3 linked regions of the Drosophila melanogaster genome follow. The protein of the gene in region 3 purifies or fractionates together with the protein of the main gene of each other region. This does not show direct contact. Each region holds a gene or a part of one and is shown on either strand. Other genes may lie near its edges. The genes, in order: Sym, Dcr-2 and Cpsf100.

Region 1 (6,420 bases), about 23 Mb from region 3:
CTAACCCCGGAGACTAAGGAAATCTTCAATGCCACTGCCTTTCAGAAGATGAAGCCCAACTGCATTCTTATCAACACGGCGCGTGGTGGCGTTGTAGACCAGAAGGCCCTGTACGAGGCACTGAAAACCAAACGAATTCTAGCAGCTGGTCTGGATGTAACGACGCCGGAGCCATTGCCAATCGACGATCCTCTTCTGAAACTGGATAATGTGGTTATTCTCCCCCACATTGGCAGCGCTGACATCGAAACGCGCAAGGAAATGTCCCGGATTACAGCCAGAAATATTCTTGCTGCCTTAGCTGGCGATAAAATGGTAGCCGAAGTAGAGCTGTAAGCCGTGTAATCTCAGCGTACAATGAATTTTTTCCACATCTTTTTAAAAACATCTGTTTGTAATTATGTACAATGTTCTAATTAAATATTTCGTACTTTCAAAGGTATTTTAAAGGTACTGAAATTATTGAAACACTTGTATTACGCCGATGACAGTGCTCGCAATGAACTGATCCGTAAATGGTCGTGGCCACTCAGAATCGAAATTTTTGTGTTATTTGCGTGGGGTATACTCCCAATCTTTTGATCATTAACAAACAAAATTATATTCCTTTATAATGTATGTGGGTGCGGTCAAGACCTTGGTTTTATGTATTATCGCCTAGAACAGTGAGTTTATAAAATTATAGACCTTATCTTATTAAGTAATTTAAAAATGTGTATGAGCAAACAAAACAATTAAACTGCAACTAGTCCTCGCCAGGCGGCAGGGGCTGGTTAAGATCACTGCCTATGGGGGGAGGAACTGGTAGTGGTACTAGAGACGTCAGTACGGGCACTGTGGAAATGACACTAATTTCTGATGGATCCGGTGCCTCTTTTTTAATATGCTCGGCACTGATGTAACCGCCGCTTTCGTCCTGAAAAGAAGATACTCGTATGTAGTAGCTGAACGTCTTCGATATTGGTTCGGTATTTGAGTTACTATTATTTCATTTAAGACTAAATCAAAAAATGCATAGTTACCGTCACGAACACATCAACTGATTTCCCGGAGATGATGTCCAGAACCTGCTGGGTTATACCACTACCATTCATTGGTTCATCCTGCATGCTCTCCGCGTATTCCGACAATGCTGGCCTTAAATCGGGGCACTGCTGCAGTGCGTCCACCAGCTGGGCGGGAGGAAGGTGCAGCAGGATCGGCATTGACTGCGGTTTCAGGCGCTGCACGGTCTTTAAAAAGCCCTCCCAGATTACTTTTTGCCGCCAGACCTGCTTGATTATCAGACGCTGCAACAAGTTCATTACAAAGTTTGCCAGACGCGGGTACAGAGTTAGACTCTGAATTGTTGTGCGCATCATCAGAGTAGGCAGCGGAGTAACCTCTACAAGCTGTTGCAGCACAGCCATAAGTACCTCCTGTGTGTACAGATCTCTTTCAGCCAAACATAGGGATGTAGCCTTAACGATGGCTTTAATATCGCAGACACTCGTATCGATGGTGTGCAAAGCCACGAGAATATCAGTGGGGGTCATGGCCATCGTCTGATGCGCGAATTCGGCACCGATACCAAGCAATCGATTGAAAACCTCCTTGACCACAGCGGGATTAAGTTTAATCAGCTTCGGCAGAACGGAAATTAGCTCGGATCGGGTTAAGCCACTTAGCACGGGTATCATCACGCGCACATCCTTGACCTTGTTCTGGTAGAGATCCCGAACCCGCCGAACCAATTCTTCATGGGGGGATGGCACTCGCTCTGTCAGTATGTAAATTATACGGATCACTAAGGTCTCCATACCCTTAGGACAATCCTCGATTAGTTGCAGCAACGTCGGGCTTTCTACACCCATCTTTTTTATGGGAATATCTAGACTGCGCAAGATCGTGCGTTTCAGTTCGGCAGATGTAGAAACAAACACTTGACAAATTTGCTGTAAGTAAACTATCAGGGGAAGAGAATATTAAGAAATTGATTTAATAGTTTTTTTCTTCTTTAATACGGGACAGCAACAACTTACCTTCCGGTTTATAGGGCAGCAGGGTAAAGGCCAAACCAAAGCACACCTTGGTAGTGTCTTCCCGCCAATCAGGCTCCTCGGTTGGTCGACCAAAGTCCTGCGAGAAAACAGCTGCCGGCGGAGATTCCTGTTCGATAAATTTAAGCCACTCCAGAGCGAATTCGTCTATTCGAGCCGGTAGTATTTTGTGTACATGGTACAGACTGACCAGGTGGGCCTGTGCCAGATCCCGCAGATCCAGTCGCTCATGCACAGAAAAGTTGAGCAACACTCTAACGAAACGATTCTTTCGCGGCGGCCTAAGCACTGCAAGGTCCTTGATTAGCTCCAGGCCGTGCTGGGAGAACTCGTCGTCCAGGCTTAATTGAACTAGATGTCCAATTGAGACTTCCGGAAGAATGGGTGCTTCTAGATATACTCGACGAATCAAAATAATCTTATCCTTGTGATCGCAACGCTCTCCAATGCCGAAGATAAGCTTATTCAGCAACTCGTTGTAGGCGTGATCGGGTCTGTTCTCTGTCTTAACATAAGTGTGCCTTGTAAATCCTTGCAGCAGAGAGTACTCCTCAAAGAGCCAGGAAAATGCCAAATCGATACGCTGTTTTATATCCTCCAGGATGAACTCCATGATGCCGTAACGTACGTTATCGGGAAAGGTGGCAGCAATCACGGTGACCAGCTTACGGCGCTTTGATGACACTCCTCCCTTAATGCATTGCCGCTCCGAGTTGAGGATGCGACGCACTGCATCAGTTAGGAACTTCTCTTTTAAGTTGCGTGGCAGAGGCTTGGTGATCTCCTGCAGCTTCAGCGTCTTGGCGCGCTCCTTCATCTTTTCAATAACAGTCTGCTCACCCTTGGCGCGCTCCATGGTCTCGCGCAGCTTCTTGGTTGCTTCCTCCTTACGCTGAAACTCTTCCTCACTCAGTTTTTGAACAGCATCCTCGTCCACTTCCATTGCAGTTAGTGTTGATTCAATCGCTTGCACTTTCTTAACCCGCATTGGCGGCTCTCGACTGAAGGTTGCGGCACCTGGGCCTAGGCGCTTTTCAGATAGTTGTTCGCCAAAAAATCTGGAGATATTGGTTACCTGCTGCTGAATAGACATTTCGCGAATGGGTGTATATTCCTGAAGGAACTTTTGTGGCACCTCAGTGGGCAGACTGGGCAGGAACTCCAGCACCAGGGTCACAACAGTTTCAGGATTACGGAAATGCTCTGCCAGAAACTTTTCGTTAACTCGAGTAGACTTCTGTTTCTGTCGTTCCAATTCCTCAGTGTCTAGCTCCATTTCTCGCTGCTGCTGATCCTGCTGCTCACAGGCCAAGCGCGCACGCTTTGCAAGACTTTGCGCAGCATTTTCGAGGATGCGTTTTTGTCTACGAGCCATTTCCTGTTTGTCCATTTTGGGAATAAGCTTCTGGATCTCATTTGTGGAGGACCCCAGATCAACTAACATTCCTCGGATAGTGCTTGCAAACTCAAAGGCACCGCGGTTCTTCAGCAATGTCTGCAACTGCATCTTAAGGCTCTTACGCACGGAGCTTACTTGCGAGTCAGTGAGGGTGGGCGGCAGGTTGGCATTCAGCTGCTTAAAGGCTTCCACCACGGCGCCCATGAAAATGGGTCGCATTTTGGCAATTGTACACAAGCTGCTTGTGCAGGCAATCAAGTTCACTGAGGAAATATGCGTTGTTCCGTGGAACTGAAGCAAGATATCTAAAATATTGTTGCCCTCCTCTTGCAACTTTTCACGGCGGAATAGTGTGCAGTGATCGGGGACATCTGCCAGCGAGAAGTCTCCATCTCGTTTCAGACTGTCCTCGTCAGCAAAGCTCTGCAGAACCACGACGCCCTCCAAGAACTTAATGGCATTTGTACGTATGCCGTCGTTTTCATTGTCGATCATGTCCAGTATTTGCGCCTTGATTAAGCTGAGGATGTTCCACGCCTGCTCCGCACTGTCGCCGGGCTCCATGAGGCTGCACAAGTACTGCAATCCATTCTTGTAGATGCTACCGCAGGCTTGGATCACTCTTTTGATTACCTGAGCCGAGTTATCCCTAAGCAGCATAGACACGACGTTAATGACATGGGGCAGTAACTCCACCTTCACTTTACTGGGATGGAAAATATAAATCGTTTCAGCAAGAAGTTAGATCCTTTGATGGAAATCCTTACCAAACTTGCTCTACGAAGGCGACTACCTGCTTGCGAACCTCCATGTTTGAGTCGTGGGCCAAAGACAGCACGGACTCCAGGAATTCTTCGGCCAGCTCCGCGCACGATCCAAGCACAGTCTCCTGCACCTTAGCCAGCAGTTCGCACTTTGTCGAAGGCGATGCGATGACCAGCTCATTGCACCAATCGACCACCTGAATGGGAAAATATATGGTACAATACAGCAGTCCGGACTGTCTTGTCTGATTAAGATTTGTGTTCTACCTTAGCTCTTGCCGTAGCTGTCTTCTCGTCTGTGAACAGATTGGCCGTCTCCGAGACAAACTGGCTGCGTCCAATTATGCTATCCATGTTTGGTTAATTGATGCAGATTTTGCCTAAATCTGCGATACTTCGGATATTTTTAAGAGCTGCCGGCACGGATGGCAAGGTGTTATCGGTACCATTGAGAAACTATCGAAAACGGTTCTATGATGTTGGTAATTCTGCATATTTCCGGACCATCTAGCTATTTTTTGCCAGCTCTTAATGTGTTCAAAAGAAAAAGAATATTTTACTAAAAACTTGGCTTATAATCAAATGAACCGCCTGCAAACTAATTTTCCTTGCTCGTTACCGTATAAAAAATTAATAAATCACATAAATTAAGCCATTTTTGGCATATCTCAGCTTAACGCGTTATTATCGATGAGCATGCCGCAGTTGCGCTGGCCGAGCGATATGCGGGGGTGACTATCGATAAGCCAGAGGCATCGATTTGCTCACATTTCTTGGGTGTTTTAGCGTGAAAAAAACGCCTAAATAAACGAATCGGCAGCGTGTCAGGCCAGAAAGTGCAACAAACGGATCGCAGTTCGCGACGCAGTCGAGGATTGGAACAGAAGACGCCGTCGAAGGTGCCGAAAAACGTCCCAGCAACCGCCAGCCGTCGCAGCGGAGTGTTTACTGGGCGAGGGGTGCAGTGGATGAGCTGTGTGGGCGCGTGCGTGTGTATGTGTGCGCCAGTGAGTGGGGCAGAGGCAGCGGCAGAGGAGCAGCGGCGGATGTAGCTCGTTGCCCGGACCCCGTAGTGGATACCACGAAAAGCTAGCGCAAACGTAGGCAGTCCAACAAAGAAAATAAACACTGGAAACCGAAGACGACGAGGCCTTCTGGAACTGGAACAGCACTGCTCAACAGCCGCAGCCGCGTCGGTGACCGCACCCTAATGTCAAATAGCCAAGCGAATGCCGGCATCAGCGGTAGCACGGTAGCGGATGAACCCATCCAGCACCACCCTTCCTTGGCGGCCGGCCCCGTAAGTGCATCCTGCCCAGCAGCGACCCCGCCGTCGCAGTCGACGCAGCAGCCCCCGCCGCACATAGTTAGTGCCTCAACAGCTGATGCGGGCAGCAGCGCTGCGGTCGGCGTCGGCGTCGTAGCTGGCAGCGAGGGCGTCAATCTGGACTCGTCGCCACGCGAGTCCGGGGACGATTCGGAGGATGAGAGCGAGATTTTGGAGGAGTCGCCATGTGGACGCTGGCTGAAGCGACGCGAGGAGGTGGATCAGCGTGACGTACCCGGTATTGACTGCGTCCATCTGGCCATGGACACCGAGGAGGGCGTAGAGGTCGTGTGGAATGAGGTGCAATATGCCAGCCTACAGGAGCTGAAGTCGCAGGAGGAGAAGATGCGGCAGGTGTTCGACAATCTGCTGCAGCTGGACCACCAAAACATTGTCAAGTTCCACCGCTACTGGACGGACACGCAGCAGGCCGAGCGACCCAGGGTGGTCTTTATCACCGAGTACATGTCGAGCGGATCGCTGAAACAGTTCCTCAAGCGCACCAAGCGCAACGCCAAGCGGCTACCGCTGGAGTCGTGGCGCCGGTGGTGCACTCAGATTTTGTCCGCACTCAGCTATTTGCATTCCTGCTCGCCGCCCATCATCCACGGCAATTTAACCTGTGATAGCATCTTCATCCAGCACAACGGCCTGGTCAAGATCGGCTCGGTGGTCCCGGACGCGGTCCACTACAGCGTCCGGCGCGGCCGAGAGCGGGAGCGTGAACGCGAACGAGGCGCCCACTACTTCCAGGCGCCCGAGTACGGCGCCGCCGACCAGTTGACCGCCGCCCTCGACATCTACGCCTTCGGGATGTGTGCCCTGGAGATGGCCGCCCTGGAAATCCAGCCCAGTAACAGCGAGTCAACTGCCATCAACGAGGAGACCATC
Region 2 (7,783 bases), on a different chromosome or scaffold from region 3:
ATCGATATTGAAGGCATAAAGAAACTTTATAAAGGGTTCGCAGGGCTTTAACAGATTTATTACTCTTTCCATTATCACACAATCGGAAGTGATACATACATATACTTACCCTGATAAAAGAAATGTTGTAAATTCAGATAGTATATAATATTTTGTTTTCATTCATTAAGATTTTCAATAACTTGAACCAAGATAGGGTTTGCATTAAACTTAAACGATTTCGTAGTTAAACTACATATGAACACAGGTACGTAATTTGTTTCCATTATTCCATTTAGTAATCAGTGTAGCAGATACTACTTATCATACCTAATAAATACATTGATTTTGGTGAAGATTAGAAAATAATACGTGGTCTTATTTTTATTGCAGGTCAACATTCTGTCCTCCCTTCGTCGACCCATCGTCCTGAAGGGTCTTGGAATCGCTGTGCTCCTGCAGGTCTTCCAGCAGTGGACGGGAATCAACGCCGTTCTCTTCTACTCCGCCTCCATTTTCGAGGATACGGGCTCTGACATAAGTGGCAGCGATGCCACGCTTATCATTGGAGTCACCCAAGTGACCAGCACGCTGGTTGCCGTGGCCATTATCGACAAGGCTGGCCGTCGCATCCTGCTCCTTATCTCTGGCGTTCTGATGGCCGTGTCCACTGCACTGATGGGCGTGTACTTTCAGCTAAAGGAGAACGATCCGGCTTCAATGGACAATTTCGGTTGGTTGCCGATCAGCAGTATCTGCATTTTCATAATCTTCTTCTCGATTGGATTCGGACCGGTGCCGTGGCTGGTGATGGCGGAACTCTTCTCGGAGGATGTGAAGAGTGTGGCAGGATCGATTGCCGGCACCAGCAACTGGCTGTCGGCCTTCGTGGTCACGCTGCTCTTCCCAATCCTCAAGAGCTCGATCGGGCCGGGTCCGACCTTTTGGATCTTTACCGCGATCGCGGTCATCGCCTTCTTCTACTCTCTGTTCTTCGTGCCGGAGACCAAGGGCAAGACAATAATCGAAATCCAGGACCTGCTGTCCGGAGGAAAGGGTGTCAAAAGTGATGACAAGAGCCAGACGTGATGATGTCGCGTAGTCTTAGTCGTAGCGATACTTTTTCATATTCTCCTTAAGCCAATAAGAAAATGTTATGTATAAGAAGTGAAGAGCATAATCAATAAAGTAGAATCACCATGTATATAAACTACCCGATTGAATTTTCGTTCATTTCCGTCAGTGTAGTTCTAATTAGACTCAATTAGTATAATTCTAATTAGTTTGACAAGATTTTAAGTCTTGGAAAAAAATGAGGAAATAAGAAACTTTACTCGTATGGAGGAGGGCTGCAAACGAAGGTCTAAATGATCTAAGGATAGTATGGGTCAAAAAGTGATGTGATATATTCTTAACAATTGGTATTGATTAAGAATTCAAATAATAAATAATTCACGAACTTACACTACCGAAAATGCTTATTATTTTGTTGCAGATTTCGATAAAAATGGAAACGTTTATTATTTCCGGAAGGTATATTATTGGCAGCGAGCATTTCAAAACAAATTTATTTATGTTGCGGTTTGTGGTAATAATTTAAGTTCAAAGAACCGCACTGCGTAGTGTGACCAGTCCGTTTTGAAACACAATTCTTAATACGTTTGACACAAGGCATCTTATAAGAGCCGCTGGCCACTCTGTCACCGGCTTCTTTGTTCTTTAATCGTAAATTATTTGACTTCAAATTGTAATATCAAAATATCCCGAAGACTCTGTAACCAAGAGCGAAGATATGGAAGATGTGGAAATCAAGGTAAAATGAATTGGCTTGCGCTCTCGCTTATTGCAAAATAATTAACAAAATCCTTTCCAGCCTCGCGGCTATCAACTTCGCCTGGTTGACCACCTAACGAAGAGCAATGGCATTGTCTACCTGCCCACAGGATCTGGGAAAACGTTCGTGGCCATCCTGGTCCTAAAGCGCTTCTCGCAGGACTTTGACAAGTTAGTAGCGAATGGATATACATATATATATTATTATATGTATTACCTATATCCGATACTTACATTTATATATATATTATTATATGTAATACCTATATCGGATTCCGATTTGTTTACACAGACCCATCGAAAGCGGCGGAAAGCGTGCGTTGTTCATGTGCAATACTGTGGAATTGGCCCGACAACAGGCGATGGCCGTCAGGCGGTGCACCAACTTTAAGGTTGGCTTTTATGTGGGTGAACAGGGAGTGGATGACTGGACGCGCGGAATGTGGAGTGATGAAATCAAAAAAAACCAAGTGAGTATAGGATGGCGGAGGCATTTTTTATATACGCATATGATCACGTACGGACTAAACACTACACTACCACTACACACTGCAATTGCGATCACCACTTGAGTCGAAAAATTTGGGATCAGCATTTTTATGGGCTCGTAAGGGGTCGTGTTTTGCTAAGCCATCACAAAATCATCATTTCGTCAATTGATGTATTTTATTTGTTTTTTTTTTTTTTTGTAGTATGTTTATTTGTTTATTTATTTATTTTATTTGTTTATTTAAAATTAACTTGAGTTTGTGGATTGTTCTGGATCATCGAGTAGTAGATTTGATGGTCATTTTTATTACATTGAATTCATGTTAGACTTTTCAGTGTAATTCGAGGAATATTTATAGTTAATAATAATACACTGCTTCCAGAATTAAACCTACATGTGTAATTTTTGGTTCTTAACAGGTTCTTGTTGGCACAGCCCAGGTCTTTTTGGACATGGTCACCCAGACGTACGTGGCTTTAAGCTCCCTGAGCGTTGTCATCATAGACGAGTGCCACCACGGCACTGGTCACCACCCATTTCGTGAGTTCATGCGATTGTTCACTATCGCTAATCAAACAAAATTGCCGCGCGTGGTGGGTCTCACCGGGGTGTTAATCAAGGGAAATGAAATTACGAACGTGGCCACGAAACTTAAAGAGCTAGAGATCACATATCGGGGAAACATCATTACCGTGTCCGACACCAAGGAGATGGAAAACGTGATGCTGTAAGAGCGGGTGGCATTTTAGCTACAGTTTCCCAACAAGTGCATATTCTTTTCAGGTACGCCACCAAGCCCACAGAGGTCATGGTGTCCTTTCCACATCAAGAGCAAGTGCTCACGGTTACAAGGTTAATAAGCGCAGAAATTGAAAAGTTCTATGTATCCTTAGACCTCATGAATATTGGCGTTCAACCGATCCGAAGGTCAAAGTCATTGCAATGCCTGCGGGATCCGTCGAAGAAGAGCTTTGTAAAGCAACTGTTCAACGATTTTCTGTACCAGATGAAAGAGTATGGCATCTACGCAGCTTCCATAGCCATAATCTCGTTAATTGTTGAGTTCGATATAAAGAGGCGCCAGGCCGAGACGCTAAGCGTGAAATTGATGCATAGGACGGCCTTGACCTTGTGCGAGAAAATCCGTCACTTGCTGGTGCAAAAACTGCAAGACATGACTTATGACGACGACGATGACAACGTAAACACTGAGGAAGTCATTATGAACTTCTCCACCCCGAAAGTGCAGCGATTCCTGATGAGTCTTAAGGTATCCTTCGCTGATAAAGATCCCAAAGATATCTGCTGTCTGGTCTTTGTTGAACGCCGCTACACCTGCAAGTGCATCTATGGCTTGCTGCTCAACTACATCCAGTCTACGCCTGAGCTGCGAAACGTGCTCACGCCCCAATTCATGGTGGGCCGCAACAATATTTCTCCAGACTTTGAGAGCGTCTTGGAGAGAAAATGGCAAAAATCTGTAGGTGTGGAAATTATCGTTAATTGCTGATATTTTTCAAAATATGCTCTTACCGTCTCGCAGGCCATTCAGCAGTTTCGGGACGGTAATGCCAATCTTATGATATGTTCAAGCGTCCTAGAAGAAGGCATCGATGTGCAGGCCTGCAATCATGTCTTTATTCTTGATCCTGTTAAAACCTTTAACATGTACGTGCAGTCAAAGGGTCGGGCTCGTACCACTGAGGCCAAATTCGTGCTGTTCACAGCTGATAAGGAAAGGGAAAAGACAATTCAGCAAATTTATCAGTATCGAAAAGCGCATAATGACATTGCCGAATATTTAAAGGATCGAGTTCTAGAAAAAACTGAGCCAGAATTGTACGAAATCAAAGGGCACTTCCAGGACGATATTGACCCTTTTACCAATGAGAACGGTGCCGTGTTGCTTCCCAACAATGCCCTGGCCATACTGCATCGCTATTGCCAGACAATTCCCACGGATGCTTTTGGCTTTGTGATCCCCTGGTTCCATGTATTGCAAGAAGACGAACGTGATAGAATATTTGGTGTTTCTGCCAAGGGCAAGCACGTAATTTCAATCAACATGCCAGTAAATTGCATGCTAAGAGACACAATTTACGTAAGCTAGAGATTCAGATTGAAAATGGCAAAATCAAATAGAGTTAATTGCTTTCATTTCTTTCAGAGCGATCCCATGGACAATGTTAAAACAGCCAAAATATCAGCTGCCTTCAAAGCGTGTAAAGTACTCTACAGTTTGGGAGAGTTAAACGAGAGATTCGTGCCCAAAACATTAAAGGAGCGCGTAGCCTCTATTGCTGATGTTCATTTTGAGCACTGGAATAAGTATGGCGATAGTGGTGGGTTCACAAGAACTCGCATAAGATATGTTTACTTATATTAATCTTTCAACCATAGTGACTGCGACAGTCAACAAGGCCGATAAGAGCAAGGACAGAACCTACAAGACCGAATGTCCATTAGAGTTTTACGACGCACTTCCGCGGGTAGGTGAAATCTGTTATGCCTACGAAATATTTTTGGAGCCGCAGTTTGAATCGTGTGAGTACACGGAACACATGTATTTAAATCTCCAAACACCAAGAAATTATGCTATATTGCTGCGGAACAAGCTGCCACGCCTTGCAGAGATGCCCCTGTTTAGCAATCAGGGTAAGCTACACGTTCGAGTGGCCAATGCACCACTTGAAGTAATTATCCAGAACTCCGAACAGCTGGAGCTGCTCCATCAGTTTCACGGAATGGTATTCCGCGATATCTTGAAGATTTGGCATCCGTTCTTTGTGCTGGATCGTCGCAGCAAGGAGAACTCCTACCTGGTAGTTCCTCTCATACTGGGTGCGGGTGAACAGAAATGCTTTGACTGGGAACTGATGACCAACTTCCGAAGACTACCGCAAAGTCATGGGTCAAATGTACAGCAACGCGAGCAACAACCTGCTCCACGTCCTGAAGATTTTGAGGGCAAAATTGTTACACAATGGTATGCCAACTATGATAAGCCCATGCTGGTCACAAAGGTGCACCGTGAGCTAACACCGTTAAGTTATATGGAAAAGAACCAACAGGACAAGACCTACTACGAGTTTACCATGTCAAAGTACGGCAACCGCATTGGTGATGTTGTTCACAAGGATAAGTTTATGATCGAGGTCAGAGACCTTACGGAACAGCTCACTTTCTACGTTCATAATCGTGGAAAGTTCAACGCGAAGAGCAAGGCTAAGATGAAAGTTATTTTGATTCCGGAGCTATGCTTCAATTTTAACTTTCCTGGGGATTTATGGCTTAAGTTGATCTTCCTACCCAGCATTTTAAACCGCATGTACTTCCTTCTCCACGCAGAGGCCTTACGTAAGCGATTTAATACGTATTTAAACCTCCATCTGCTGCCTTTTAATGGAACTGATTACATGCCCAGACCACTAGAAATTGATTATTCGCTAAAGCGGAATGTCGACCCCTTGGGCAATGTCATACCAACTGAGGATATCGAGGAGCCGAAATCCCTTTTAGAGCCAATGCCCACAAAGTCCATTGAGGCGTCCGTGGCCAATCTTGAAATAACAGAATTCGAAAATCCCTGGCAAAAGTATATGGAGCCGGTTGATCTGTCGCGAAATCTTTTGAGTACGTATCCCGTAGAGCTGGACTACTACTATCATTTTAGCGTTGGTAATGTATGTGAGATGAATGAGATGGATTTTGAAGATAAGGAATACTGGGCAAAAAATCAGTTCCATATGCCCACGGGTAATATCTATGGCAACAGAACTCCGGCCAAGACTAACGCAAACGTGCCAGCTTTGATGCCGTCGAAACCGACTGTCCGCGGGAAGGTAAAACCACTGCTCATTTTGCAAAAAACTGTTTCCAAAGAACATATAACGCCAGCGGAGCAGGGCGAGTTTTTGGCTGCAATCACTGCCTCGAGCGCAGCGGATGTTTTCGACATGGAACGCCTTGAGATTCTGGGCGATTCCTTCTTAAAACTTAGTGCCACGCTCTACTTGGCCAGCAAGTATTCGGATTGGAATGAGGGCACTCTTACAGAGGTCAAATCCAAGCTTGTGTCTAATCGTAACCTGTTGTTCTGCCTCATCGACGCGGACATTCCCAAAACGCTCAACACCATTCAGTTTACGCCTAGATACACATGGCTTCCACCTGGCATCAGTTTGCCCCACAATGTTCTAGCCTTGTGGCGAGAAAATCCGGAATTCGCAAAGATTATTGGCCCACACAATCTCCGTGACTTGGCTCTCGGCGATGAGGAGTCCCTGGTGAAGGGCAACTGCAGCGATATCAACTACAACCGCTTCGTGGAGGGATGTCGAGCAAATGGGCAGTCCTTTTATGCCGGTGCCGATTTTTCATCCGAGGTGAACTTCTGCGTGGGACTGGTCACGATTCCCAACAAGGTGATAGCCGATACCCTTGAGGCGCTATTGGGCGTAATCGTTAAGAACTACGGATTGCAGCATGCCTTCAAGATGCTAGAGTACTTCAAGATTTGCCGTGCGGATATTGACAAGCCGCTTACTCAGTTACTGAACCTCGAACTGGGCGGCAAGAAAATGCGGGCGAACGTGAATACTACAGAAATTGACGGCTTTCTCATAAATCACTATTATTTGGAAAAAAATCTTGGCTACACGTTTAAGGATCGACGATATTTGTTGCAGGCCCTCACCCATCCCTCGTATCCCACTAATCGCATCACTGGGTCCTATCAGGAGCTGGAATTTATTGGCGATGCCATACTCGACTTTCTAATCTCTGCCTATATTTTCGAGAACAATACGAAAATGAATCCGGGCGCCCTCACAGATCTGCGTTCCGCTTTGGTCAACAATACTACGCTGGCCTGCATTTGCGTGCGGCATCGGTTGCACTTTTTTATCCTAGCGGAGAACGCAAAGCTCTCCGAGATCATATCCAAATTCGTGAATTTCCAGGAGAGCCAGGGTCACCGGGTTACCAACTATGTGCGCATTCTGCTCGAGGAAGCTGATGTTCAGCCGACTCCGCTGGACTTGGATGACGAATTGGATATGACTGAGTTACCGCATGCAAATAAATGCATTTCTCAGGAAGCAGAGAAAGGAGTCCCACCAAAAGGTGAGTTCAACATGTCCACAAACGTGGATGTGCCAAAGGCGTTGGGGGATGTTCTGGAGGCCCTTATTGCAGCCGTATACCTGGACTGCCGAGATCTCCAACGTACTTGGGAGGTAATTTTCAATCTCTTCGAGCCGGAGCTTCAGGAGTTCACGCGCAAAGTGCCCATCAATCATATACGACAGCTCGTTGAGCACAAGCATGCGAAGCCCGTGTTTAGCTCGCCCATCGTCGAAGGGGAAACTGTAATGGTTAGTTGTCAATTTACCTGCATGGAAAAGACGATCAAGGTGTACGGATTTGGGAGCAATAAGGACCAGGCCAAGCTATCGGCTGCCAAGCACGCCCTTCAGCAGC
Region 3 (4,911 bases):
ACACAACAGTTTGGGGCAGTTTCTGGAACGCCGGACGCTGGGGTTACAAGTGCTGCAAGTCCTTCATCAAGAACTCCTACTGCGTGGGCATGCAGGAGCCAGAGGGCTACTCGGAACATCATTCTACGAGCTCCACTGCAGCGGCTACTACAGAACCTGCAGCTCAAAGCCAATTCAAGGTACCAGAAGTGCCACCTGAAAGGCCCACTTCCGAAGTGGACTCAGCATCGAGTTCGGAACCCTCCTCATCCGAAGAGGAGGAGGTAAAACCTGAGAAGAAGAAGACCAAGAAGAAGTCGAAGAAGCGCGAGAAGAAAAAGAAGGCTAAGGAGCAGCGAAAACAAAAAGGCAAGAACAAGGAGACCAAGGACAAAGATAAGACAAAGGAAAAAGATATTCCCGAGGAACTGGACGATCGCAAACGAGCCTATAACAGCATGTATGATGTGAAGGCGCCCACAGAGGACGAGATCGAGGAGTGGAAGAAGAAGCGGCCAAGGGCAGAAGATCCCATGCTGCAATTTATGTAGGCAATAAAGTACAACTGATTCTCTTATATAAAAACTTTCTAATCTTAACAAGTAAAACATTAGGGGCTTACACAAACGTCATTTTGAATATTAAACGATCGCATACTGCTCGTACAGCAACTCCCTGATCTTGTAGTACTCCTCGGATAAGCATCCCTCCATGGCTACCTTGCCGGCATCCACTCGCCTCAAGGCCAGAGTTCCGTTGCTGCACCAGAGCACGCCGCCGGAGAACTCCGAGTTGATGTTATTACGCATGAGAGTCTGCTTAAAGTCGGACAGTTTCAGCTCGTTAATGAGCACTGAGTTGTGGATAGGAATCTCATCGTCCGCCAGTGTTTCAAGAGTCAATGTCTTGCCTTCTTGCACGGAAGCGTCCTGCTCCACAGTTACGTCCATGGGTGCTTCGATGGCCTTCACCCGCATGCCCAGGCGACCATCCACCCACGCCACCTCCGCGTCCTTGCCCTTTTGGAACTGCAGCTGGGAGACAAGTCCTTCCGTCAGGCGTACCTGATAGATGTGAATCTCACTGGTGACATCAATGATTTCCCCCTTCTGCGGAGTAAAAACGCGCGCACCGACATTCTGTTCGCAGTGCCTGGCCACCACTTGTGTGCCTTCGGCAGTGCCGTGTATGACGATAACCCTTCGTGGCCTCAACTGGGAGAGGATCTTTAGCATGGACTCGCCATCAGAGCGACCTTCGAAATCGATCCTCTGGACTTGGGCATTCACCTCGATTGTTTTGCGTTGGCTTATCAGCTTGGTGGGCTTCTCCAGCAACTGAACATCATTGTCGACGATTCCTCCGTTAGCCTGTTGTTCTGCTCCTATGCCCGGTTCTTCCTTTTTAACATTCTCCTTGTTTTGCTCCTCCATAGGTACAAACTCATAGCCTGTCGCATCCGCAATCCGGTAGTCGTCTAGATTGATGATCTCCCCATACTCATCGCACTTCACCTTTTCCTCGTGATAGGGGAACATCACGTGGTGTCGTTTGTTGGACTTGAAAAAACCGGAGTGATGGCGACCCTCCGGTCTGACCACAATATCATGCTTGCCCGTGATGACGCTCATCTCGATGTCGTCCTCGGACTCGGAACTGCTCTCTTCCTCCACATCGGGCTTTACGATAAGGGGATTAAGTTTCTCGCCCTGTGTGCGTAGGTACTCCTCCAACTCAGCTCCTTCTAAGTCAACTCTTCGCCTGACGTCCAATTCGATTTGCTTGCCCGGTGCGCAGTTCTCCACCAGTTCCATGGCTAAAGTGCCGGGAGACGTACGAGTAGTAAGGATTATGCTATTGTTGGCATTGCTGGCCCATTGCACGAAGAGATCCCTCGTGAATCCGCTCTCCAGATCTGGGGTACTGGCCAACACCACTTTTGGACCAGCGGGCAATTTATAGACGTCCGCCAGTGAATGGCACAGCTGGATGTGCTTGAACTGAAAGGGATTGTTGCGGGCACCTTCGAAAGCCTTCGTGAGCTTGTCACTCATCCATTCTATCTGCGACTTGGCGAACTCAATCACGTTGTAGCTCACATTGTTAAGAAGGGCCAGGGAGTAGGCCATTAGCCCAGATTCCTTGTTCTTCCACAGCTGGTCCAGCATGTGGGCCAACTCCAGGACTCGTCCTGCCGTATCCACGGCTATCAGGACATTGCCGTTGTTACGCACCGTTTGCAGGATGTTGGTCATTAGCTTTTCATCGCGGGCCCTCCTTCTGGCCTGCTGGTACTGTGCGTTGTAGGCGTCGGTAATGAGCAGCGAAGGTCTTTGCAGCCTGTCCAGCTCGCAGCCACTTAAGTGGCGCTCCTTCTTATGGTTGAAGTCGGTGGCGTACACAATATCCTCCTCGCCCACCTTGACGATCTTCCAGATGGTGCCGCCGATCATGTGTCCAGCGTTCAAAGGCGTAATGGATATTCCATATCCTTTGTCCTTCAGTGAAACTGTTTGGTTGTATTTCAACTGGGTTATCTTTTCGAAAGCCGTGTCCACGTCGTCCAGCGAAAATAGATCGAAGTCTCCCATATTGAAGTGCGACATGTAAAGGTCATACATAAACATTTGACCCATTTTGAACACGGGAATGGTGGCGTAGATGGGGCAATTGAGCCCCAGCTTGCCCACCAAGTATGGCAGGGCTCCAAGATGATATGCATCCGGATGGGATAGCAGCACGGCGTCCAGGGTGTGCACCTGCCTGGGAATACACAAAATATTTAGGTTATTGTTTTCCTGAAATATGTATACAATTGTCACCTCTTCAGTTCCTTGATAAAGTTGGCATCGAACTTTTCGTCCCATCCGCAGTCAAGTAATATCCGCACATCGTCTATCTGTAGGATATAGCATGGCGGGGACTCGTCCATCGCCCCAGATATAGTGTGCAGCTTGATAATGGAGGTCATTTTTGCCAATTAAACCACCGGTGCATTTGTTTAAGAAATTGTAAAAGGAAACCAAGAGTTCTTCGCCGGTTCAGGGATGGGAAACTGTCACGGCGTTGCCAGAGTGCTGTTGCTTTGTTTATACAGTACGTACTTGTTGAGCGAACAGTACAACCCGATAATAAACAAAGATTGACATTTTAAATGTTATAAATTAAAAACTTTGATTATGTCTCTCATGTATTAACCATACATACATATGGCTACAACCTTCTTCAGTTCAATTACCTTCTCTTTAATGAGTCAACATTTATAACTATGCATCCTTATCAATAGAAGTCTCAACAATCTAGTATAAGTAAACACAACTTTTTATCAAATTATTGTTTAATTAATAAGGGTGGGGTAGAGTCATGCCGTTTTAAAGAACCATGGATGCCCAATCGGTTGCATACTTTTTATAAAAACAACTTCTTATGCTATTTTGTATTAAAGGCATCCTAAAAATTGATTTCATAAACATTTTCTTTTTGGTTAGTAGACTTTAGTTGTTCGTAAAAACCATTTAAAAAATTAATGAATATTATGTGAGAAAATAAACCAAAAAAAAAACAATTCGAGCTGGTGAAGTTTCACTGTCTGTTGGTTTATGCGTTGCGTCCCTGGTCGTCAGCTGTTATTCGCCAACCGGCCGCGAAGATTGCGTCCGAAATTAGGATGCGGAGTTTCCAAAGATCGCACTGAGTCAACTTTTCCTGCCAACAATGTTCGTGCGGCTCTGGGTCCGCAGCTTCCATAAATATGATCTTCTCATCGCCATCGGACTGATCACTCTCATCGTGTACCTGTGTCTGCCCTTCCGGTTCGCATCGCACTACGACTACATCGAGGAATCAAAGATCGAGGGGGCTCTGGTGCCGCAGGTGACCAGAAATGTCTCCCAGCAGGAAGTTTTCGAATGCACCTACTCGGAGATCATTGCCGAAAACCGGTTCGTCTACCACCTGGCCCATTACCATGACGCGGTGCAGAGGGGCGCGGAGATCCGTCCTGGCGGCGAGTTCCGTCCGGAAGGATGTCAGGCTCGCTACAGCACCGCCATCATTGTGCCGTACAGGCAGCGGGAGGAGCAGCTGCACGCCTTCCTCACGTACATGCACAATTACCTGCCGCAGCAGCTGATCCACTATCGGATTTTCCTGGTCGAACAGTTCGATCATAAGCCGTTTAACAGGGCGATGCTCTTCAACATTGGCGCCCAGGTGGCTGCGGAGTATGGATTTCCCTGCCTCATCCTTCATGACGTGGACCTCCTGCCACTGAATTCGGGTCAAATATATGCCTGCTCCGAACGTCCACGGCACATGAGCTCTGCCCTGGATCACTGGCGATTCCGACTGCCTTACCGCGGTCTTTTCGGCGGCGTGGTGGCCATCAACACCGCCCAGTACCAGCAGATCAACGGCATGTCCAATCTGTATTACGGCTGGGGCGGAGAGGACGATGACCTCTACGAGCGCCTGCAGGCCCTGAATATCGACATTTGCCGATTCGCAATGGAGTTCAGTAAGTACACCATGCTGAAGCACAAACAGGAGCAGCCGAATGCCAATCGCGTGGCACTGCTGAGATCGGCGACTCTGCGCCAGCACGCGGATGGACTCAACTCACTGGTGTACACGGAAATGGAGCGGCGAATGCACAGTTTGTTCACGCACATCCTGGTTGATACCTGAGTGCCAGTATTTGTTATTGTATTTAGCTTGTAGGCCAATCGTTTTCGTAGTCGGTATCTCGAAGTGTTTTATACTTGGCTGCACTTCGCTTCGCAACCGATTAGTTACCGCCTTAGACAATGCGTTCCGAATCGATCGTGATATCTCACTCACTAGGCTAAGAAGCTAGACGGGAATGGAGGAGTCAAAGCTGTAATTGAAGTACAATGCAGAAGCCTCAGATTAAGCGGATATCGACATGTTAAG

Evidence for each region.
Region 1: the proteins of Cpsf100 (region 3) and Sym purify together in Drosophila melanogaster (affinity purification with western blotting; 3 studies listed by BioGRID). This does not show direct contact.
Region 2: the proteins of Cpsf100 (region 3) and Dcr-2 purify together in Drosophila melanogaster (affinity purification with western blotting; one study listed by BioGRID). This does not show direct contact.

The regions. Positions count from the first base shown.
Region 1 is NT_033777.3:5,737,573-5,743,992, forward strand, and holds Sym (symplekin), read right to left. Parts: upstream 4,905-6,420; 5' UTR 4,557-4,904; coding exon 4,470-4,556; intron 4,400-4,469; coding exon 4,206-4,399; intron 4,145-4,205; coding exon 2,022-4,144; intron 1,946-2,021; coding exon 1,023-1,945; intron 917-1,022; coding exon 746-916; 3' UTR 606-745; downstream 1-605. Other genes in the region: CG1236 (uncharacterized protein), read left to right, coding at 1-336; Madm (MLF1-adaptor molecule), read left to right, coding at 5,413-6,420. UniProt on the Drosophila melanogaster protein: Component of a protein complex required for cotranscriptional processing of 3'-ends of polyadenylated and histone pre-mRNA. Involved in germline stem cell transit amplification, differentiation and mitosis-to-meiosis transition.
Region 2 is NT_033778.4:17,575,415-17,583,197, reverse strand, and holds the start of Dcr-2 (Dicer-2), read left to right. Parts: upstream 1-1,672; 5' UTR 1,673-1,771; coding exon 1,772-1,792; intron 1,793-1,852; coding exon 1,853-1,983; intron 1,984-2,104; coding exon 2,105-2,282; intron 2,283-2,721; coding exon 2,722-3,029; intron 3,030-3,085; coding exon 3,086-3,782; intron 3,783-3,845; coding exon 3,846-4,403; intron 4,404-4,469; coding exon 4,470-4,644; intron 4,645-4,702; coding exon 4,703-7,783. Other genes in the region: CG6484 (uncharacterized protein), read left to right, coding at 373-1,068.
Region 3 is NT_033777.3:29,032,702-29,037,612, reverse strand, and holds Cpsf100 (cleavage and polyadenylation specificity factor 100), read right to left. Parts: upstream 3,041-4,911; 5' UTR 2,951-3,040; coding exon 2,802-2,950; intron 2,743-2,801; coding exon 621-2,742; 3' UTR 551-620; downstream 1-550. Other genes in the region: Slu7, read left to right, coding at 1-530; beta4GalNAcTB (beta1,4-N-acetylgalactosaminyltransferase B), read left to right, coding at 3,694-4,665. UniProt on the Drosophila melanogaster protein: Component of the cleavage and polyadenylation specificity factor (CPSF) complex that plays a key role in pre-mRNA 3'-end formation, recognizing the AAUAAA signal sequence and interacting with poly(A) polymerase and other factors to bring about cleavage and poly(A) addition.